Drosophila melanogaster: one gene and its partners. Changing the gene in region 2 together with the main gene of any one other region gives a genetic interaction. Each region holds a gene or a part of one and is shown on either strand. Other genes may lie near its edges.

Region 1 (7,346 bases), on a different chromosome or scaffold from region 2:
AAACGGAGAAAGAAACACGACGAGATGTTGCTATGAATTTAAATTGTTTGGAGTTTCCAACGTGGTTCATATACATATAATTTCACTTGCATTTTAAGGACACAATTATAGTTTACTTTTACCATGCCTAGCTGATAAGTTGTTGGTACAAAGAATCGAAAATAAAAACATAGATATTTTCCAAGGGAAAAATAAAGCGTATCGCCAATGGATAAATTTTGATTTCGTTTTCTTTTGAGTTTATTATTGATAGAGCTTTCATATTTTATTGTGATAGGATTATACAAGCACCTTGTCAAGTACTATTGGATTACCTATTTTTCTATATAACATCCAATATATATGTATTTGATTTGGTTCAGAATTCAAAAATATTTAGGGGGATTATATTTCTATTTTCTTTCTTTCTTTAGAAACAAGTTTTTTTTTTACGAGGTTGAATGAAATATACAGAAAGTTTTTCTGGCTTTGCTTGTTTGTGGATACAATAGAATTTTTTAAACAGTAAACAAAAAATTAAAAAAAACAAAATTATAAAAAAATGTTTTCTGTTTTAAAAGGCTAGCTATAAAAAAAGCTAGGTATGGCGAGCACTGTTCCCATTTTCCATCCCTGGTTAAGGCTGTGTTATCGTTATCGGGAGACAGCTGATTGGCGGCATCTTCATTTACAAACAATTGTGGAATTTGCAAACTTTTGTAAAAATGGACTACGATTTCAAGATGAAAACGCAGATAGAGCGTACGAAAGTGGAGGACCTATTCAACTACGAGGGCTGTAAGGTGGGACGCGGAACATACGGCCACGTCTACAAGGCGAAATGGAAGGAGACAAGGTGAACTGGTCATCGGGTGCTCTTCAAACAATATAAATAATTATAGTATTCATGTTCTTTAGCGATGGCAAAGAATATGCCTTGAAGCAGATCGACGGCACCGGATTGTCCATGTCCGCCTGCCGCGAGATCGCATTGCTGCGCGAACTGAAGCATCAGAACGTAATTACCCTCATCCGGGTGTTTCTGTCGCACAACGACCGCAAGGTGTTCCTGTTGATCGACTATGCGGAGCACGACCTGTGGCACATCATTAAGTTCCATCGGGCTGCTAAGGCCACCAAAAAGCAGGTTGTGGTTCCCCGCGGTATGGTTAAAAGTCTGCTATATCAGATTCTGGATGGGATTCACTATCTGCACAGTAATTGGGTGCTACATCGTGACCTGAAGCCGGCCAACATCCTGGTGATGGGCGATGGCAACGAGAGGGGCCGCGTAAAAATCGCCGACATGGGTTTCGCGCGGCTCTTCAATGCCCCATTGAAACCGCTGGCAGATCTGGATCCCGTGGTGGTTACCTTTTGGTATCGCGCTCCGGAACTGCTGCTTGGCGCTCGTCACTACACCAAGGCTATCGACATCTGGGCTATTGGCTGTATTTTCGCCGAACTACTCACTTCGGAGCCCATCTTCCATTGCCGCCAGGAGGACATAAAGACCAGTAATCCGTACCATCACGATCAGCTAGACCGCATCTTCAATGTGATGGGCTTTCCGCAGGACAAGGACTGGGAGGATATCAAGAAGATGCCGGAACATCATACGCTGACAAAGGACTTTAAACGCTCCACATACTCCACCTGCTCGCTGGCCAAATACATGGAAAGGCACAAAATAAAGCCAGACAGCAAGGCCTTTCACCTGCTGCAGAAGCTGCTGCTAATGGATCCCAACAAGCGCATCACCTCCGAACAGGCCATGCAGGATCAGTACTTCCAGGAGGAGCCGCAGCCCACGCAGGACGTGTTCGCCGGCTGCCCCATACCGTATCCCAAGCGTGAATTCCTCACCGACGACGACCAGGAAGATAAGTCGGATAATAAGCGACAGCAGCAACAGCAGCAGCAACAACAGCAGCAACAGCAGCAGCAACAGCAGCAGCAACAACAACAGCAGCAGCAGCAGCAGCAAATGAACGCTGAGCCGAATGCAAAGAGAGTTCGATTGTCCGGAGCTGGTAACCAGCAAGATTTTCACCACCAGCAGCAGCAGCAACAGCAGCAGCAGCAACAACAGCAGCAGCAGCAGCAACAGATGATGTTCAATCAGCAGCAGAACTTCCAGCGCTTCAACTGAGAGACTGATACATGCAGCATTTTTTCTACAACACCTACTAATTTCTAGCCTTCTAAGTATTTAATTTAATGACCTTGATAATAGCAAGTAAAGTGTACGATATAAAACGTTGATTTTTAATGGACAGGGTTTTCTTTATTTAATTTTGTGAACTCCAATTAACTCAAATTCGTTGAAATATCTTTCCGAAGGATATTCAAAAATAAATTTGAATGCATGTTCTTTCCTCTCAAAAATGAATTTCTCAAACGAAGTTTTGAAAACTATTTTTAAAATTGGTTCGAGTCTGAGCTATTTATTTAAAGCATGTTATGTTTTTGTGTCGGCTTGGGTCACGATACGCAAGTATCGATTAAATGTAATCGAAGGTGCCATCGCTGTGTTGCCAGCTCTAGTAGAATTTGTTAGAATATTTTACCGGATTTGCCATTTGCTTTGCAATACAAATTAGAAGAGAATATCCACACAGTGACCATTAAAGCGTAAAGAGCCAAATCTAACGTTTTCCAAATTAAGATCAAAACCGCCCGTCTGGCGACATCGATGAGATCGTGGCCCTCGCCCAAAACCCAGCTGGCTGCCAACTTGAAGATTGTGGCGTAAATTGCCCTCCGGAAACGCAGTTGCAATTGCAGTTAACAGGCGAAAGTCACACAAGTAAGTGGGATTCGGAATGGAGGCGGTGGTGCAGGCGGAGGCGGACGACAACAATGCGTCGGATGTCCAGCGGGGTGTTGGTGGGGCATTGCTGGCCGTAGTGGCCACCCAGTGGGCGGCAATGGCAACCCCTCCAAGGGCACGAGGTTTCGCCGCGACCTGTGCCATTATAATCTGGCGAACATCGCGATTTCAGTGCCTGTTCGGCTACTGCCGCCGTGATTCACGATTGTCCAGCAGCAACAGTGGCAGCAGCAACAGAAACAACAACCATAAAATCTACGAAATCATCAATGACTCCCAACCGCCTGACGTAATTATCCGCGTGCATTGTTCGCAACTAAAGCACACTCTGGTCTTTGCCCATTGTTACAGGTAACACAGATAGCCAGGATGCAGAACAATCCCAGCCCACAGCTACCCTGCAAGGGTATACTAAAGACTTCGCGTAGCTTCGACAAGTCGGGAGCCAGGTGAGGTCATCGAATGACCCCAGTTAATAGCCCTTATTAATTGGTTTCTTTTTCATCCTTTTAAAAAGTTTTCGCAAAAGTGCCAAGTTCGATGAGCTGAACGTGATGCAGACCTTCCATCCGGCCGACAAGGACTACGGACACATGAAAATCGATGAGCCCAAAACGCCGTACAACTACACGGAGGGCTTCGACGAGAACAGGGACGAGCTGGACACGGAGTTGCTAGTGGAGAAGTATGTGGAGCTTTCCTATTGTTTACTTGCTAAATGGTTTGGCAAGAGCACAGAGTATCAAGTTTCAAACAAAACTGATTTCCAGAAAATGCGCCGTTCACATTTGTTTGTTTACATGTGACTTATAGATTCAGAGATTAAACAATCGTTGATAATTATACGATTTGCAAAATGATAATCAAATATATCAACATTATTGAGCAATATGACTGCCTCAGATTTCTTAAGAATATAACTAGCTAAATTCATAATCAATAATTTGTTTGAAAAGAAAAAGTTTTTTTTGAAATTTGAAGACTTATTTTAAAGCCGTGCCAGTCATTTTGTAGTTTACATATTATTGCACTTACAATTACTAAAAACACATACTAATTTGCAGACTCCGCATAGCGGCTAACACACAGCCGTCGACAGAGAGCATCGAGGACGATGGTTCCTCCGGTGATGACCAGCCCCTTAGCGAAGAGGAGCGACGTAAGTACCATGAACATCTCAGATTCCAACAATTGCTCAAACATATTTGCTTGCAGAACGGCGGCGCGAATTCGAGCGACGCCGTAAGGCCCACTATCGCGAGTTTGAGGCCGTCAAACTGGCACGAAAACTGATCCAGGAGGAGGACGACGACGATGACGACGAGGACAAGGGTGCGGATAGCCGGCCCTCGGGCTCGTCACAGGGCGCTTCCAGCTCCGGACGTTTCGCGAGCAGTTCGACCAAACGGTCGAGCTCTCAGGCTGACTCCACCACATCCCCGTCTACCAGCGCCGGCCAGAACATGGACCTGGAGCCATCGAATAACTAGAAGCAATGTCAACCCATCAATCAATCACTAATGTTTACCTAGCGGACAATGGACGATTCTGAGGGCAGCTCATCCAAAACAATAAACAAACGAAATTATATCAAATTATCAAGTGCTGTGCGAGTGCGGAGTGAGAAGTGGATGCTGATTAGCAGGGTGGCGAGGAGCACTCGTGATTAATTGAATTTACCCAACTAAACACAAAAAACAAACCGTCGCCAAGGAGATGCGTCATCGAGTAGTGAACACAGCCGATAAGCCGAGGGGCACTTTATTGTTGCAAATTGAGTTTAGAGCACAAAGAATGTGCACCTGGTCGGAGAATTTGATTGTACGACACAAAATATAATTAATCGTATGCGTCTCAGCCGTAGCGTCCTGTATTGTTGCAAATGTAGTTAAACAAAAGTCTTTCAAATTGATATCGAGATGGAAAGCCAACCCGTTCGCAGCTCCGTTTGCATTTAATTTGATTGGATGCCCAGTGCCACAGAATGGATAACTTGTTGTAACTAGCGTTGAAATTGATTTGGCCTTACTTTTAGTTATTTATTAATACGATACTATTATGATTACTATTAAGTTTTAGCCATCGAATGCGAGCCGAGCGTTTCAATAAAGAGAGTCCAAAAACCCAATTGAAAAAAACCTTCGAAATAGTTCTTCTCGTCGCGAGTATTCAAAACTTGCCGTTTATTTAGTTTCTCATTTCATATTAGTTATACATCGTAGTGTAGTTGCGTATAGACATTGCTGGTCATAGTAATTGGTAAAGTCTGAGAGTTGTGTTGGCCCGTCCTCGATCTCGCCCCGGCCTCATCCCCCATCCATACGCCAAGATCTGGGCCCTGAGTCCGCGGCTGCTCGTCCAGCAGGCAAAGGCATCCTCATATTATTGCCTGGGGTCAGCGGGCGAACTAAAGGGCCGACCTCAGACGGCTGGAAGGGGGACTGATGGGGCCTTATAGGGGTGGCATAATCCGAACGTGCGCGTTGAATTTAATATCCTTGAATGACATATTTCGAACTCACAGATTTGTTTCGGCGCGGTCGCCTGGTTTCTTGTATAACTTACTTATAGCGGGATATTTGACGGTTTTTTATAATTTGCAGTTTAACAATTTCAAGGTAAATATATATATATATATATATATATGTGCATATAATATAGATATAAGCAAAAAGCATGCAAACTCAAACAATAAACATTGAGAAACCCGTGCGAGCGGCTCCAAAGGATGTGCCACGATATCGGGGAACAATTTACAATTGGTGATTGTGGTTCGCCCAGAGGATTCCTTGAGCTCATCGCTGCACGGGATCTGCGTTAAATAGAATATGCTCACAATAAATAGTTTAGTATTGCTCTTACATCTAAGACAAGGTTCAATCTCATTATCATTTTTCCGTCTTGGGTCGCATCGTTTCCATTTCATTTGCTAGTTAATAGTTTAACAATCATCTTAGCATCTAGCACTATATAGCATATAGCATATAGTTCTGGTCTCCAATCTAAGCCATACTATATGCACATGCTCCAAATATGTGTATATAGTATGGGTGCATGGAGATTTTCGTTATCCATTGCTGCACCGTTTGGGCAGCTTGGATCAGGGTTCCAAGCCCACGAATCATCATTAGTATTATCTCGAGTGGATGCAATCTGATCGTGGAATCAGCGAGCATCTATATTTATACGGATAATATTGAAGATGATTCACCGGTTGGTGTCACACCTGCTGTAGTATTGCATTCACCTAACATGGGTTCGTTTCGTAATATATGTATAGTATATATGGCGTCGTTAGTGGTCATTTAAGATTAGTATAACAATTGTATATATCCTATATAGATAGATTGATTCGTTAGTGTTTCGTTTTAGTAACATAGACATTGATCGTTTTCAGTATTATTATGAAGTGGGTTCCATTGAATTTTATGCTGTTGTTGTTGTTGTTGTTCTTGGCATCTGAAAGAGTCTTTCCCAAACTTAGCCGAAAATGTGCTGGGTGCCCGGAGGCACCTTGTAGCTGGGATAGCCATTGTTCAACTGGTGCTTGGCAAAGAAGGGTGTGTAGTCCTGCTATTACACATATGCATTAATATCGAATTGATATGTATCTTAAGCGGCTATATCCTACCCGGTTAACTCTCCTGGGACGGCAGACGGGACCCAACGCCAACTGGCGTCGTTCCTCGTTCTCGCGAGCCGCGGCCTCCTTGTACTCCGGTGGTGGCCATTTCAAATCTCCGCGCAATTTGCTGCCTCCTAGAATAATTTTATAAATGTTAACTATAAGTTAACTAATTTAAGGTGATCCACAGTACCCTGATAACTGACGGCGGCTGGCTGCGAAGTGTAGACTGGTGCAGGCTTCTGGCTGACTGGAGCCTCCTTGCGCAGGGTGATGATGCCGGGACTGGCGCCCCGGTAGCTATCCTGGCCAGCGTAGGCTCCCGGATACTGCTGCTGCTGCTGTTGTTGCTGCTGCTGCAGATCAGTCTGATCCTGCGAGTAGGGCAACTGGGGCTGCGAATAAGAATTGTATGGGGGTTGAGCATAGGTCGAGCCACCATTTTGCTGTGGGTAATAGGATGGCTGTTGCTGTTGCTGCTGTTGGTACGGTGAAGCCTGGTACGATGGCTGCTGCTGCTGCTGCTGCGGCTGGTTCCACTGTGGTGGCTGATAGGGCGCCTGAGCCTGCGATTGAGGCTGATACTGCTGCTGCGGAACCTGCTGCTGCTGCTGTTGCTGTTGCCACTGTGCTCCAGGCTGCTGGCCATCGTAAGACGGAGCACCGTACTGCTGCTGCTGAGATTCAACCGATGGTGCAGTGGTGCAGTGGTGTGGTGGTGTTTGGTGGTGCCAACATGCATGTTCGACATGGGTTTCGATCACAGGTTATGATTTTAATTCGTAGATGGGTGGTGTTTTGTTGGTTGGGAGGTGCATACGACACATTCACATTGGATGTAGATAGAATTGATAGAATATGTTGGAGATAGAGATAGACAAAAGACCATAGTTAGAGGGTGGGAGGTTG
Region 2 (10,389 bases):
AAACGAACATTTCGAGGGAATATGTGGCGCGGAATGATGTTATGCCAGAAGTCATCAAAAAGTGGGCTAGCTCTCAATTCTCAATTCAATGCCTATCTGATTTGAGTATTTCTTCACAGTTCCCAAAGCTACCGCCAGTCGCACTTCAACCGGCTGGTCAACAGTGCGGCCACCAGTCCCGAAGTCACACCCCGCAGCGAGATTGTCACATTGCGCAAGGAGCAGCAGCTGCAACGTCAACAACCCCCACCAATGGAGGTCAAGCATCTTTCCTTGGAGCAGCAAATCCGAAATCTGCGCGACGTGCAGAAAAAGGTGGACTTGGACGTGGAGGAAGAGGAGGAGGAGGAGGAGGAGGAACAGCAGGCGGAGGAAAGTCAATCCGAGTCGGAGCCGCAGAACGAGGAGCAACAGCATTACGAACAGCAAATGCAGGTCCAACGCAAACATCTCCAGGTGCGCAAGGTTCGCAGTGAGATTAAGTATGTGGAAAACAATCCCAAGGAGGCAGCCAAAAAGAATCGCGAGTCCAAGTCGGACCATGAGTTTGCCAACGAGAGAGATGTGAGTAGTATCCACAATATAAATTAACCAGTACTAGCAATTTATTCTCCTGTACGATAACCCATCTTATCCCCACAGTTCAAGCTTAATCCCTCTGTTCAATTCGAGACGGACATTGGCGACAATGTGATGGTCAATCCTGGCCACCGATACGAGGGCGGCGGGGGCGATACGGCCTATGTCTACAACTATGAGCATGAGCAGCAGCAGCAGCCAGTCAAGCGGGGCTACGAGCACGGCTATGTGGTGGGCGTGGGTGACGGATCCCACAGGAGGCAGAGGCAATCTCAACTGGTCGAGGCTTTGGTGCAAAAACGTGTCCCAGGCGCCAGCGATGGACATGTGGCGCAGTTCGTTAGCAATCTGGAACGACAAGCGAATGCTGGTAAAACGGGGAAAAAGCGCCTTAAACCTCGGCCTGAGGACGATCTTCAGGTACCAGTCGGCGACATGCACATGGAGTCGTCGTATATGTCCCGCTCCGAAGAACTCTCCTCAACGGACGTTACGCTGGAGAACTCAGACTACGAGACGGAGGCGACGGACTCCACGTTACTTAGTAGCTCGAAATACTCCTCCATGCATGTCTTTGTGCGGCGCAAGCAATCGGAGTCCATGTCACTCACAGAAGAGGCCGGCGACGGAGATGCCGGCGGTGGTGGAGGCTCTGGCGATTTCGGCGACCAAAATGTCATATCCCCGGCCAATGTCTACATGTCCCTGCAGCTCCAGAAGCAGCGGGAGCAGAGCGCCTAGGGGTCGTGACTTTAGGTTCCTCCATTCAAAATCCCCGCAGCCATTCGCAGCCGGAGCAGCGACACCACAGCTGGCTGATACGCCGAGCAGTAACAACAACAACACCACTACCACCACCATCACACCCACAACAAAGCAGCCAACTCGATTCGATAGGATCCCCACTGGGAGAGCTAAATTTGCAGTCATACTCCCGGGCAGTAGCAGTAGAAAAGGGAACCTGCTCCTTTTTGCACGTCCTGCCATCTGCGAATTCAAGCTGCACCAAAAATGTACAAAAATATACTTTGGTCTTACTAATTTCCATTAAAGATTTATTATTTGTGTGCTCCCTAAGCGAGTTTGTTGGACCTTATTTTCGGATGATTAACCGCCCCAAGTCAAAATGCACATATGCATGATATTGAGTTCTCTATGTGATATCTTTTGATTTATTTAGTCCGTATATTGTGAAATTATAAAATATTTGCGTTCGGTTAAGTTTGCGTTGAATACTACTGATTAAGATTCAATTGGATCAAGTATTTTGAATGTAGTTAAGTTAACTCCATGGTTATTTATTATGTGGAGGTTAGAGGGCGTGCTTAACCGCCAAATCCGTAAAGGGTGCGTCCCTGGCGCTTGAGGGCATAGACCACGTCCATGGCGGTCACGGTCTTGCGCTTGGCGTGCTCGGTGTAGGTGACAGCGTCACGGATAACGTTCTCAAGGAATACCTGTGAATTTTCCGAGAAATTAATCAGTTTTTCACCACTTTCCCTTCGTTTCGCCAGAACGTACCTTTAGCACACCGCGAGTTTCCTCGTAAATCAAGCCAGAGATACGCTTAACACCGCCGCGACGAGCCAAACGGCGAATAGCAGGCTTGGTGATACCCTGGATGTTATCACGAAGCACCTTACGATGACGCTTGGCGCCCCCCTTTCCCAATCCTTTGCCTCCCTTTCCACGACCAGTCATTTCTCAGTTGCTTCGTAAAGTTGGCTGAAAAGAAGAGAAGACGCAATAAACTGTAAAGCGACGCCATGTTTGGTGAAAGGTAAACGTTCATTTGACAGGTGAAAACTGTTGTTAATAAGTCTGTTTTCATACAAAATAATGGTCTCCAATTATTTTTTTTATGTTTATGCACAAAAAAACTTTGTTGACCGATTCTTCTATTATTTACTTAAATTTCTCAGCAACAAAACTCACTTCAAGAAATCTCCAGAAAATTGCTTGTGAGCGTGACCAGATCTCGCACACCTCAAAATACCTTTCGCAAAATGCGCGTATCTAGTATTTCTATTGTCTCACTACCAGCCCTGGTCAGTTATCGCCTATCGGCCATCGCTATCGCCGCCCCGTTGCGACAAAAAAGATTTAATCGAACCGAAAGACGTGCTCGCACTAAAATCGCTTGAAAACAGGCCCGCAGACCTGCGAAAAACGAAAAAGTGCAGCGCGCATATACTTTTTCAACTGTGCCCCTCTAGCTTAAAATTAAGTCGCGGCGAAAAGTCGAGTAAAACCCGCGGAAATGCGCATGCAAACGGCGTGTGGCCAGCAAAATCGCTGCCAAGGCACCGCACACACACTCGGCCACCCACACATACACACTTAGTGCTGTACTCGAAAAGTGCGAAGACAACAGGAACTCTGTGCCAAAATAATATTAACAGTACCCAGTTATTCCATTCCACTGCACCTGTCCCCGAAACATCGAAATATTCGCGTTACGTATACGCAACGAGTGCTGTAAACAAGTTTGCACAGGCGATAACAATGTCCAAATACGATCTGCTTTATCTAACGGCGCAGCTAACGCTGGGTATGTATTGCACTGCGAGTGTGTGGGTGCATACTTATTGGCGCCTTAATTCCCAGTCGCTTTATTATGTACATATGTACATAATATTATATTTTGTCTCTGCCTTACGATTTTCCTCTGTAATGCAAGCCGACTTCGATTTATAACCATTCGTGCGTGTGATTTTTGATGATATGGGGTGCGTAATGCTATTACTTTATTAATATCACATGGCGCTTGAAAAGTTCATATATAGGGTGTATAGGCTTTGTGATAGCTTTGTCCTATTAACCAACACATCAGAACATCTTAAATTTTCAGAAATTAGGTATAACGAATGTAAATGCTAGGAATCAAATCTATTTGTGAAGTGAATAATGTATACACTAGATACTCTATTAAAGCACCAACAATTGTACTACACAAATGTAGTAAAATATCGTAAGAATTGTTGACAGTGGGTACTACGAATTCATATGTTGAGCGCCAAACGCATACTCGGTATAAATCGATCGGATACCTAATTCCCAATCTTAATCCATGTGTGTGTGCGCTGAGCATTTCTTTGAATGGATTTTGCTGCATTAGGAACTTGTTGTATGGCAGGTTCTGGTTTCTCCCACCCTTTTGCTCCACCGGCCTCCCTCTCTTTCGCTCGCCATAGCCCTCTCTCTTTCTGTGGCGCAGTGCGCTCTCTTCCCTGTTGCTGCTGTTGTTGTTGTTGTTTCTGCTGCTGCTGTTTCCTTTTTCCGCACAAGCGCCACTTTAAACCCATCCCTTTCTGTGTGCATAATGTGCCTGCTTATGTATCTACTTTACTATAAAGCATGCACGCTTACGAACACACACATACATGGCCAGCGATCCGATTACCTAAAGGACAGTGGGACGAAAAGTGTTTCAAAGGATTGAAAACAGTTTGCTTAGCCAATGGTCAAGAAATATCAATCAATATATCGCAGGCTCGTTGCAATAAACGTTTTCAAAATTAAATTTTTTGTATTTACACATTTAAAAAGTGAATTATCATTTTAATTTTTATCAACAAAAATTTCGGTATTTGGATGAGGATCCCAGATTAAATCGAATTAAAGAATGTAAATAGATTTTCAAGAAACCTTACTGCAGGCCCACTGTGCACTGCATATCCGTGCATTGGGGCCATGCCCACTCAAAGGCTGGTGTGTGGCCAGTGGGGCTAATTCCGTGCCCAAATGGGGTGGCTTTCAATGGCAGAGGCCCCAGCTTAGGACGCTACTCCTGCTACTTCTGGGCATGCGATATGTGTACAAAGGATAGCGCCCACAAAGAGCTCGCTGAGCGCCCTCCCTTTCAGTCTTATTCCCCAAATAGGCTCGACTTTATTTGCCCACCCTTTGAGCACTTCCAACCGATAATTCCATTAACTTTGATCTTTAACTACGTTTTAACTTTTTGAAAGTCTTTACTCATGTTTTAGGACTGCTCAAATATATACTTTAAATATAGATCAGTGCTAATCTAAAACTAGAAAGATTATTAATCTATTTTCCCATTGTCTTCATTTAGTCTGCTGTCTGATTGGAATCCATGGATCTATTTTGCCCGGAAGTCATGGGATCATAGAATGCGAGCACTTCGACGAGAAGATGTGCAACACAACGCAGCAATGTGAAACACGGATAGAGCACTGTAAGATGGAGGCGGATAAGTTTCCCAGCTGCTATGTCCTTTGGTCGGTCAACGAGACAACGGGTGAGCCGTGCAGAAGTTGACGTTGTTTCAGGCATACTGATTAATTTTAATTTTTCCGTTCCCATAGGCATCCTGCGCATCAAGATGAAGGGCTGCTTCACGGACATGCACGAATGCAATCAGACGGAGTGCGTGACCAGTGCAGAGCCACGGCAGGGAAACATTCACTTCTGCTGCTGCAAGGGATCGCGGTGCAATTCCAACCAGAAATATATTAAAAGCACCACGGAGGCAACCACACAAGGTGGGTTCGGATCCGGTTTCGGATTCAGATTCGGTTTAACGTTTGCTGCTACTGGGGTTTTGTCTTTGGAGTGTTTACCCCAATTTTGTTATTTTTCCGTTTGCATATATTTTTTGTTTGTTTTTGTTATTTCGTTTTTTTTTTTTTTTTTTGTATTTTTACTGCATCTTCAAGTTGCAAAAAGAGGGCGTAGGCTTCGCCTACAAAATACCACTCCTCGCATCCGAGGCAGCGTTTTTCGTGTTAACGAACTCTTGACGCGAAGTGGCGCCCGCTCCCCCATCATTTTCTACATCCCCAGCCTCCAGCAACCCCTTTTCGGAGCCGCATGTGTTGCAATTTCTGCCCTCCTGTGCACGTTCGCTGGTTCGTTTTTATTTTTATAGTAAGGTACTTCTTTAGCGATCGGGTATAATGCGTTCGCTTTAAAGGATGCAACTGAAAGAGGTAGTTATTTGGTATAAATCCAATTTATTTCACTCCGATTATGAAGGCTTAATAGGATTAGACTCTACCTATTTTGAATGATACTTAATTGGCTTGCAGCCTTAACCCACAACGAGGAGAGTATCTGTTATCTAATACCAGGTATACAAGTGTCGAGTGACTTCATTCTAGCATCCTTTCTTGTTTTTATTTTTGGGGTGTTGCTGCTGCCTTTGACTTCGAAGCCCTGTGCTGCCAGGGCGTCTTTTGTGCCCTGCTCTTTGTTGTTTTGTTCTTGGGCCTAGCTCGCTTTTATCTCGAAACAAAATGAGGGGAAAAAGAGATGCGAAATTGGGGGCGAACTTTCGTTTTTTAGTTTTCGTTTTGCCTTTCATAGCAACCCCAGCAGCTGCAGGTGCATGCCGCCACTCGAGATGTTGTTCACCTGTGGCAAGGCAGCGTTTAAAGCCCTCTTTAATGTTCGTTCCCGTGTGTGTCCTTGTATCGTTGCAGTGCCCAAGGAGAAGACGCAGGACGGCAGCAATTTGATATACATCTACATTGGCACCTCCGTTTTCAGCGTGCTCATGGTCATTGTTGGCATGGGCCTTCTTCTCTACCGACGCCGCAAGCAGGCGCACTTTAACGAGATACCCACGGTACGTACATATCCTTGTGATGTTGCCGCAAATATATAATTTTAATTATGCAAAATTAAACCCTTTAGCACGAGGCTGAGATAACAAACTCATCGCCATTGCTCAGCAACCGTCCCATTCAGCTGCTGGAACAGAAGGCCAGTGGTAGATTCGGTGATGTGTGGCAAGCCAAGCTCAACAATCAGGATGTGGCCGTCAAGATCTTTCGCATGCAGGAAAAAGAATCGTGGACCACGGAGCACGATATCTACAAGCTGCCGCGCATGCGCCATCCGAACATCCTCGAATTCCTGGGCGTTGAGAAGCACATGGACAAGCCGGAATATTGGCTGATATCCACCTACCAGCATAACGGATCACTATGCGACTACCTCAAATCGCACACGATCTCATGGCCAGAGTTGTGCCGCATCGCTGAGTCCATGGCCAATGGACTGGCACATCTGCACGAGGAGATCCCGGCATCAAAGACCGATGGGCTAAAACCATCGATAGCTCACCGAGACTTCAAGTCTAAGAACGTACTGCTTAAGAGCGATCTGACGGCCTGTATAGCTGACTTTGGTTTGGCCATGATATTCCAGCCAGGCAAGCCCTGCGGCGATACACACGGTCAAGTAGGCACTCGACGTTACATGGCCCCAGAGGTGCTTGAGGGTGCCATCAATTTCAATAGAGACGCTTTCTTACGCATAGACGTCTACGCATGCGGCCTAGTCCTCTGGGAAATGGTGTCACGGTGTGACTTTGCCGGACCCGTCGGTGAGTTCCAGCTGCCTTTTGAGGCCGAGCTGGGCCTGAGGCCGTCGCTGGACGAAGTTCAGGAGAGTGTGGTAATGAAGAAGCTGCGCCCTCGTTTGCTCAACTCCTGGCGCGCCCATCCGGTGAGTGTGACTTCTGATAATGCTTTTAGTCAATGAAAATAACTTGTAACTTTTTTACAGGGACTTAATGTATTCTGCGACACAATGGAGGAGTGCTGGGATCACGACGCTGAGGCTCGTCTTAGCTCTTCGTGTGTGATGGAACGCTTTGCGCAGCTAAACAAGTATCCCTCAACCCAGTTGCTAATCAAGAACCACACCAACATTGACGACGCCAAGGAATCTACGAATTGCTTATAGAAGCGGTACTAAGCCACAGACCAGCCAGCGGATCTGTGGCTCTGCAAAAAAATCAGTTGAAGCTTTTTGCTTCGTAGTGGATAGTTGATCGTCGAGGTCGTAAGACGTTTCGTTTTTAGTTTAATAGTTTGTAGTACCATTATAAGCAGCTATAGAATGGGTTGATTTATACGAAAGAAGTCGTGTAAGATGTAACTTTTCCTAAGGGAAAAGCCAAAAGCTTAACATGCCAACGATTCTTTGTTATTATTTTCTTTAAATTATAAATCGACTCATTCGATGTTAACCCGAGTTCTTAAATCTGTTGGAAATGAGTGGAAACGTACACTAAGCAACTTTGAACAAAGAGCATTAGCTATGTCCAGAGACGTGGTAGTTGCTAATCCGACATTGACTTCATTGACTGATAACCATATATAGTTCTATATAAATCATACATATAACGTACAATTTGTTTTGCCCTCTGGCAGTAGCCTGTGTGCATATGTAAACTGTTGAAAATTATCGTCAAGCCTTTTAAAGTATAATTTTATTTGTACGTTATCGAATGTCTTCATATAGTAGTAGTTTTATATTTAAAGTTATTTTCAAAATAGATTTAACAATTTTAGTTTACTTTTTAGTTGTAACGTTTTTATTTCGCGCTCAAACGTGCATGCGTTTTAATGTTGTATTTTAAATAAAAATACTTTAAACTCCATCCTAACCATCTGATTTTTTATTATTTTGTCTGTTTTATATTTCTGCTTTTGATTTTTATTTTTTTATTTCCAAAACGTAGTGCCAATGACCCTCAGAAATCGCGTAAGCATAATAAATGTGTAATTATGTAATTGTATTCTAATTCTACTGGACAGTACAAGCAACACCTGAAGTTTTCAAAGGAAAGTTTCTTTTTAACAAGAATCTAACTTAAGCGCATATACATAAATTATAAAATATAAACTATACTCTTTATATATACACACAACACATACACGCATAGGCATACGGAACACACGCAGTCTAGCAGGTTTATATGAAGCACACGCTGCGACTCATCGTCAGCATAAAATCTAAACAAAAAAAAAATCAAAGTTAATATTCAACCCAAGAGGTATGCACACACTGTAAGAAATTAGAGCTAAACACAATGAGTAAGTATGTTAAACATTGTTAAACGGATAGTATGTCTTATAATGTTAGCCAAACAAGGTGTATGTCGAGCTATAGTTATTTAAGCTATAGTTTAATTAAGAGAGTCTTGGCGGAATGTATTATCTTTCGGGTTATTTGAAACTTTTTTGCGCAGCATCAGTTCTTATCAATGGCTAAGCATCTGAAATACTTCTGGATTATCAGTTAAGATATCAACTAAACACGATACACAACACAGAACAAAACGAAACAAACAAAGCTTCATTACCTGATTTTTTTGAGCAACTTACAACAAAAATAGTTTATTACGCAAACAAACAAAAACCAAACGACATAATCTTAATAATAGAACGAATTTTGTTATGCTGTATTTAATTTGTATATTTTCCATTGGTGCTGAAACATCATTACGACGAACATAATGATAATGAAGATAATAAGAAACGAATTCAAAAACAACCAGTATTTAAAGAGCGAAGGAATAAACAATTAATATTTAATCATAGTAGTTTGTTACATATCAGATTGCTAAATGGGATAGAGGAAGATAATATAAATCGATCATTTCAAAAAGATTTGCAGAGAAATTTTTATAGCATTATACAAGGCAATAACAAGCCAACAGCAATTTTGGTATATTTTTTAATGCATTTCATAAGTAAAACCAAAACGAGTTTATAAACAGTAAATTCATAAGAAAATCTTTTTAAAACACCCCATTTTCGAATATCATCAGCAAAGTTTTATAAAAACCAATATGCGAAAAACATATACGAGATGATAGCAAGTCGTGTTAAGAAGTTTACGATTAAAAAACGATCTTTGATAATAACGGATTTAAAATAAAAATGCAACTGTTTAATAAACAATTCATCACCGGTTTTTCCTTAATAAAAATCGACTCTATTCCAGCTTTCTTGCCACTTTTATTACAATTGTCTTCCGTAAACATTCAGACCTTCTGGATTATATAATTCAACAATACAGATAGGAAAACTTAGCCAAGAGCTACACATATCAGATACAAATATTTATATGAATAATATTAAATATACGGTTTATTACTGGGGGAGTTTTTAGAGTTATGTCCCTGATTAACTTATACAACGAAATCGAACGAATATATAGACTCTAGTACAGGCTTAATTGATACAAAATATATATATTTACAATCTTCTACGTAGTTTGTGACATTGGACCATTTCAGTTGTAGTTCTACGATCGTTCGTTCCATCCTCCGTCTGTTTTATAGACATATCAGACTTATCCTTGGCTTCGTAACTCTCATTCTTCTATATCCTGGGGAAAAAATCGATCTCTATCAAATGCAAAAATGTAAAGCATTCCAAGTCCTGTGCGTTCTGAATGGGTGTCTTACTAAAATATATACTTGTAAATCTATGTAAATCTATATTGATTCGGTTTCGCATTCCGTGTGTGTGTATAATCACCTAATCCTTAGCCATTCTCAGCTTACTGTATCGAGTATATCTTTATTGGGTTCTAGGCTTAACATGTACAATATATAATAGTATAAATAGGTATTAATGTATATATAAGTACTTATTGAGTTTGTACGATATGTTTGTCCTAGGGAGAAAACTTTGCAAGTGAAGATACAAGATACGAGATACGAGAGTATGCAGTTAGGGACGGTTTCTAGGTTCGTAAAGCGATCGCACTAGTGGAAAAACTAGCCGGGCAAAGGGTGGAGTGTGTTTATATAAATAGTTATACAAGAATATATAGATGCCCCTGTGCAGCGGGCAAGAAATCAAACATCATTCTGTAAGCAAATCGTCAGCACTATCCACACCAAAAGAATTTCTGCACAGTTTTGGGATTGAGTATATACGAGTATACACATATATGGTTTTAGTAGGTCTCATCTGACCCACCACCGGATACGCCGCACTTAGAGCGCAGGATGGCCGCCAGGCGTTGGGTGAGCGGTTC
Region 3 (6,726 bases), 710 kb from region 2:
AGGCATCCGCACAGGATCGATTGCTCGGAATTGGATCCAACAGCGACATGGCACGTCCACGGGCTAACTCCGAGATGCGAATCCCAGGCGGGCTTGTTTCAGTTTTCGGATCGTTTATTTCTCCAAATTGATCCACAGCGGTTTGCAGTTCTGTGAAAAATCCAGCATTATTATCTTGTAGATGTCTAACGCTCTGTCGTACATACGTATTACGTGTTTCAGCGTGGCATGAATGTCGAATGGCGTGGTCAGGTGATGCTCGTTGGCCAGAAAGTTTTTGTACTCCTGCGGAAAGCGCTTCTTAAACGACTCGGGAAATACGAAACTGAAGAACGGCAGACGCTCTTCCTGTTTTCCCTGCAGAGTGGCTCGCACCTCGGCAAATCGATTGCCATGATCGGCCATCATGATGAGAATGGTGTCGTCTAGCAGCGATCGTTCCTTGAGCGCCACCAGCCAGTCATGGACATCATCATCCGCTGCTCCCACTAAGTTGATGGAGTCGTGGGACAAGCCGCCATGGAAGCTGAAGGCAAAGCGCGGTGCATCGCGATACTTAAGCATAAACTGTACGAAAATTATACAATGAGTTAGTTTCCAAGCACATTTCGAAAGAGAACATACGTTTTTTGTGTACTCCAGCATGGTGATGTGATCAGGCTGGTGGCCAATGCAGTTGGGCTTGCTCTCGGCGGCCATGTGCTCCGCCTGGACATAGTAGGTACGCAGGTAGTGGTCCACCGGCTGGGCCTCAAACCCTGTCATGCGGTACGTGAAAGTGCCCACATTGGGCAAATCCTCATTAAAGGAGGTCATATATCCCAGGCGGGCAAAATCCTTCCAAATCATAGGATACGAATCCACGCTGCCTGCCCCGGACAACCGCTTCCTTGTCTCCGGCAGCTCCAGTTCCGTGAAACCCGTCAGTAGGGGCACCAGCGCCTGTGGCGTACCATCGCCCACAATGTTATAGCCTTTGAGAACGGTGGCGCCCAACTGTTGGGTGAGATACTCGTAGGTCCTGGGCAGCTTGCGAATGAAGGCATTGCGACTCAGCGAATCGAAGCCAAACATGAGGACATTGTAGATGGGAGCTGTGGCCCCATCCTGCATCTGCTGCTGGGCCTGCGCAACCGCCTCGGGTGGTAGGACGGCCAAGTTCGGGGAGAAATTGGAGGCCGGTGGACGGGGCACCGTATCCCGTATTCCGTGGGCCATGCCAAACCAACTAAGTACATGAAGATCATTCTTTAAAGTATAGGCATAACTATAAAATAAGATAATGGTCACCTCTCGCCGCTGGAGGATCGACAGACCACCTTGACAAAGTCGCTGGCCTGCAGCACATAGGGCTCCTTCATGCGCAGTGACTGCCCAAAGCGAACCTTGTAGTCCGACTTGCGAATAATGTCCGTGTAGGAGCAGATCACATCCTCGTGGCTGGACGCAATCTCTGGTCGCACAAAGCAAATGGATTTCTTTGGGGGAAACGAGGTTTAAGTTAAGCAATCAGCTCTTGTAGAAGGGGCCCAGTCCCAACCAACCTCACACATGACCCAGTCCATGCCCTCGCCGCAGTTTATTCGCTCAACCGGCTTGTAGAACTTCATGATGTCCGGATTGTCCAGCGGCAGATGGGGATGCCGGCACTCGCCACGATTCACAGCCGATCTTATGGAGCGCTCGATGATTTCGCTTTAATTAAATACAAAATTGAATTAGTTGCAAAAGATAAATACTCTTTATCACAAATATGCGCATATGTACATATACATATGTATGGACAAACATCGTACAATCAATATCCCAAGCCGCTGTGACGCACAACTAGACATACTTACATTTTGAGGCTCTTATCCAGATCCCGCTCCACGTTCAACACATACCAGGTGACCAGCAGGACCACCACACAGCAACATGCTGCAATCTTGGGGACAGTTCCCCGCCGCACAAAGCGCATTTTGAATAAATTATGAGCTGCAAATATCGGACCAGACACATGAGACTTGCATTCGCATTATTGCTGCACATACAGCACTCACTCGGCACTCAAGCGACGTACTACTTACACCACTGCCGATCTCCAAACTTGCCGCCTATTCGACCTTTACTAAATATCCACGCTCATTTTTTAAATTAAACATTTAACTTATCACCAGCTGCGACGTACCGCTATATGCGAGTTGCCAAAACAGTGGCAAACAACATTGCGAATTCGGTCATACTGTGTTGTTTGGCAACGCGACCGCTGCAATTTAAACTGCGACTTTAAACTTTGCTTTAGGTCCGATTTAAAGTCGGTAGAACTTTCAGTTTGCTGTAGAACGAAATATACCGTTAGCTTATCGTTAATGATAGTGCTTTTTGCTATCAAAACACCATGTGATACAATCGAACTTAGGCGGGGATTAAATAATGGTAGATACTCCCTTAAATTTGCCGAGTACTTTACTTACACTCAGCATGTGACAAAGTAAATTCTATTAGTACCAAAGTTAAATAAGCCAACTGACAATTACTAAGAATAATAATTGGAAGAGAGATAAAGATCTGCTCCCACGATTATCTTCATATCTGATTTGGAGACTCGCCAAAAAGCTTGCGACAAAGCTCGCAGGCCGAGAACCGCGTCCGTCCGAAGATTCAGTTGTGCGCCAAGCTCAGCTTCGGCCTCTTCGTTTCACTCCGCTCCGCTGTGGCACCTGGTATCGTCCATATTATCGCGCCGTTTATTTTGATAACTGCTTCTGCGGTCGGTCTGTAATATTGTTTTTAGGCAAAACATTATCCGCAAACCACTGACGACGTCTTGAGAAAGGACTAACGAGGTCCGATTGCGCAACGAAAATGCTAAAGCCATCGATTATCTGCCTCTTTTTGGGCATTTTGGCGAAATCATCGGCGGGCCGTAAGTAAATAGAAGACTGCCAAGATGCTCATCTGCTGGACATGACTAGCTTAACGTATTTGTTTTTTTTTGCCGCGGGCCTTCACAAGTCGCTGGAAACCTGTTTCCGTACTTCCATAGCTAATGACCTAATTTATGTATTCACAATATTGGTAAGCTCTCTGAACCTAAAGTCTGGATTTCCAGAGTTCTACTTCCCCAACGAGGCGGCCCAGGTGCCCAACTATGGGCGCTGCATAACGCCGAATCGGGAGCGTGCGCTGTGCATCCATCTGGAGGACTGCAAGTACCTATACGGCCTGCTGACCACCACCCCGCTCCGGGACACGGACCGGCTTTACCTGAGTCGCAGCCAGTGCGGCTATACGAACGGCAAGGTGCTCATCTGCTGTCCGGACCGCTACAGGGAGAGCTCATCGGAGACGACGCCACCGCCCAAGCCCAATGTAACCAGCAACAGCCTTCTGCCGCTGCCAGGACAATGCGGCAACATCCTGTCCAATCGCATCTATGGCGGAATGAAGACCAAGATCGACGAGTTCCCCTGGATGGCTCTAATTGAATACACCAAAAGTAAGTAGAGGGGCATCGTCTTAAGTCTGAACGCACTTATCCACTGGTTAATTCCTACATGCAGGCCAGGGCAAAAAGGGTCACCATTGCGGCGGATCCTTGATCAGCACAAGATATGTGATCACAGCCTCGCATTGTGTCAACGGAAAGGCACTGCCCACCGACTGGCGGTTGTCCGGTGTTCGTTTGGGCGAATGGGACACCAACACTAATCCCGATTGCGAAGTAGATGTGCGCGGCATGAAGGACTGCGCGCCACCGCATCTGGACGTGCCCGTGGAGCGTACTATACCCCATCCCGACTATATACCGGCCTCCAAGAACCAGGTCAACGACATAGCCCTGCTGCGTCTGGCCCAGCAGGTGGAGTACACCGACTTTGTGCGACCCATTTGCCTGCCTCTGGACGTCAATCTGCGGTCGGCCACCTTCGACGGCATCACCATGGACGTGGCCGGCTGGGGCAAAACGGAGCAGCTGTCGGCCAGCAACCTCAAGCTGAAGGCAGCCGTGGAGGGATTCCGGATGGATGAGTGCCAGAACGTCTACAGCAGCCAGGACATTCTCCTCGAGGACACACAGATGTGTGCCGGCGGCAAGGAAGGCGTCGACTCCTGTCGCGGTGACTCCGGGGGACCGCTCATCGGCTTGGACACCAACAAGGTGAACACCTACTACTTCCTGGCCGGCGTCGTGTCATTTGGACCGACTCCGTGCGGTCTGGCCGGATGGCCAGGAGTTTACACGCTGGTGGGCAAGTACGTTGATTGGATACAAAACACTATTGAGTCCTGATTGTAAAATGTCATATTGTAAATAAATTCGACTAACGGTTTCCGTTTAAAAACTGCTTCACAGCGTGTACGCATACTGCATGTCGATGGGCGCGTTCGCCGAAATATTGGCATAGTCAATCTTTTATTTTGTAATGAAACTATTAAATTAAAATTGACAGTCATAATACTTTCAAAGGTACATTTTTTTTAATCAATTAAAAGGTAAATTGGGCAAATTATTTTGCTTTATTAAAATGTAAAGAAATAGTTGCAATAAAAAAACTAAATTCATAATCGTTTTCAAAGTCACTGAAAATTTTACTGCTGAACTCACGCAGATTAAATAATCATATCTGGCAACACTGCAAACTGGCTGAGTAGTCTGGCAACGCAGACATATTGGTGGTAAAAATGTTGAAGAACATCTACGTAACGCCGTTAAATTTGCTTAAATCGGCCACCAGCCTGCAGCAGCAAGTGCGGGTAAGTGCTCTCCTGGATTAGGGAAGCGATCCCCATTCACCACCAATTTGCTTCCAGACCACGTTCGTCCTGAAGCGCAAATATGACCCGCCGCTGCACAAAACCAACGAGAAACCCCGCCGGATGAGGGCCAAGAACTTCATCTACGAGCTCGTGGACGACACGCTGGTCAAAAAGCGGCCCAACATCGAGGTGGTGCTAAAGACCTTCGTCGAGGGCGTTGGCGACAAGGGCGACGTGGTGTCAATGAAGCCGCACTTTGTCTACAATAAGCTCCTGCTGCCGGGTTTGGCCGCGTACAATACGCCGGAGAATGTGGCCAAGTACGCCAAGACAGAGGCTGAAAAATCGACTGTTAAACACAGCTCCCCCTACGCCCAGCGCACGGTCAACATGCTGGAGACCATTGTGCTGGCGGTGGTCATGAACAAGGATGAGCCATGGGTGCTCGAGCCCTGGCACATCAAGGCCTCGCTGCGCAAGACTGGGTTCTATTGTCGCGAGGAGTGCATTACCCTGCCCAAGGAGCGCATCGAGGGACCCGACCTGAAGAAGGAGAACAAGGACTTCTACTGCACTGTGACCATAAACAAGCTGGAACAGGCGCGACTCAAGTGTCGTCTGCACCACTGGAGCACAGATCCCAGCGAACGGCTGCCTTACGTACTCGAGCACTGGAAACTCCAGTCTGAGCCCCTGCTGGATGTATGTTCACCCGAAAAAACCCCTTAGAGACCCCATACCAAATACATGCGATTGTTACAAAACTGTTGATTTATGAACAGCCGGAAAACAGAGTTTATTTAACATTTTTATCAAGTTGTACGACGTGGATACTTACTTAGGATTACAAGTCTATATGATGTTAATATAGTGCACTAATGCACAGCTTTCAGTTCCACTTCGAAGACGAGAGTGGAGTTCGGTCCGATCTTCGGTGGAGCTCCCCGTGCGCCGTACGCCATGTGCGGGGGGCAGGTAATGACTCGCTTGCCGCCCACCTTCATGCCGGCGACTCCCACGTCCCAGCCCTTGATGACCTCTCCGCCGCCCAGGGCGAACTTAAATGGTTTTCCCTTCAGGAGGCTGTCGAAGGTCTTGTTGTTCGACTGCAGGCGGCCGATGTAGTAAACAGATACGCGTTTGCCCTGCTTGGCTTCTTCGCCTTTGCCGACGACCTGATCCACAATCTTCACGCCTCCGGTGATAGTACGTGGATCCTTAGAAGCTGGTTGCTGCTTGGCTGGCTCCTTGGCCTTGGGTTGTTCCTTCTTGGCCTCTGGCTTCTCCTTCTTCTTTTGCTGCTGCTTGGCCTCCTCCTTCTTGGCCACACCGTTCTGCTCCTTGCCAGATTTCTTGGCGCTAGCGCCAGGAGAGAGCTTGGCAACCTTGGCCTTTGGCTGTTCCTCTTCAGCTTCGGAGTCGTCGCTGTCCTGTTCATCCTCCTCGCCACTCTCCTCGTTATCCTCATCAACATCGTCGTCATCTTCCTCCTCACCATTTTCGAGGAAGGACTCGTATTCCTCGATTATCTGGCTATCGTCATCAGTATCCTCCTCGTCCTCCTCGCCGCTCTCATTCTCATCCTCATCATCTTCAGACTTTTTGCTATTCTTGATCGCCTTGGAGTTCAGCAAATTCTCGATCGTCATTTGATCGTCATCCTCATCATCTTCGGAATCAATGTCGTGCAAGTAGCCCAACAGAGAAACGCTGGCGTCGCCTGTGAAACGAACGAAAGCGTCAGAAACGGATAAACATGCGAACATAGTGGACATAAAAGGTCTTACCGGCGGTGTAGAACATGATGCGATCGCCCTTGCTGAAGTTCAGGTCGAGCGCAACCTGTGGAATGGCCTTGGTCACGGTGGCCACGATGTACTCCTGCTTCTCGGCAGCGAGGTACAACTTGGCCTCCTGGCCCTTGTCGAGTGCCACGCCCGAGATGTGGAACGACTTGATGATCGTCTGCGAGTACTTGCGCTC

What was found. Genes that interact genetically often act in the same process or in processes that back each other up.
Region 1: of put (region 2) and I-2, changing one enhances a phenotype caused by changing the other (phenotypic enhancement), as found in Drosophila melanogaster (one study listed by BioGRID).
Region 3: of put (region 2) and ea, changing one enhances a phenotype caused by changing the other (phenotypic enhancement), as found in Drosophila melanogaster (one study listed by BioGRID).

What each region holds. Positions count from the first base shown.
Region 1 is NT_037436.4:9,831,964-9,839,309, reverse strand, and holds I-2 (Inhibitor-2), read left to right. Parts: upstream 1-2,804; coding exon 2,805-3,101; intron 3,102-3,163; coding exon 3,164-3,261; intron 3,262-3,329; coding exon 3,330-3,497; intron 3,498-3,876; coding exon 3,877-3,971; intron 3,972-4,027; coding exon 4,028-4,302; 3' UTR 4,303-4,943; downstream 4,944-7,346. Other genes in the region: Cdk8 (Cyclin-dependent kinase 8), read left to right, coding at 705-835, 898-2,131; CG43897 (uncharacterized protein), read right to left, coding at 6,293-6,382, 6,444-6,571, 6,631-7,111.
Region 2 is NT_033777.3:14,617,941-14,628,329, reverse strand, and holds put (punt), read left to right. Parts: upstream 1-2,626; 5' UTR 2,627-3,084; coding exon 3,085-3,130; intron 3,131-4,657; coding exon 4,658-4,843; intron 4,844-4,910; coding exon 4,911-5,087; intron 5,088-6,026; coding exon 6,027-6,172; intron 6,173-6,240; coding exon 6,241-7,056; intron 7,057-7,116; coding exon 7,117-7,296; coding exon of another isoform or gene 7,297-7,308; 3' UTR 7,309-9,300; downstream 9,301-10,389. Other genes in the region: CG7886 (uncharacterized protein), read left to right, coding at 1-61, 120-564, 643-1,320; His4r (histone H4 replacement), read right to left, coding at 1,905-2,036, 2,101-2,280; CG14853 (uncharacterized protein), read right to left, coding at 10,309-10,389.
Region 3 is NT_033777.3:15,326,086-15,332,811, forward strand, and holds ea (easter), read left to right. Parts: upstream 1-2,643; 5' UTR 2,644-2,847; coding exon 2,848-2,908; intron 2,909-2,997; exon of another isoform or gene 2,998-3,094; coding exon 3,095-3,481; intron 3,482-3,545; coding exon 3,546-4,276; 3' UTR 4,277-4,323; downstream 4,324-6,726. Other genes in the region: CG6236 (uncharacterized protein), read right to left, coding at 1-150, 207-567, 625-1,228, 1,291-1,478, 1,545-1,695, 1,842-1,960; mRpL9 (mitochondrial ribosomal protein L9), read left to right, coding at 4,669-4,740, 4,798-5,472; Fkbp39 (FK506-binding protein 39kD), read right to left, coding at 5,619-6,463, 6,531-6,726. UniProt on the Drosophila melanogaster protein: Component of the extracellular signaling pathway that establishes the dorsal-ventral pathway of the embryo.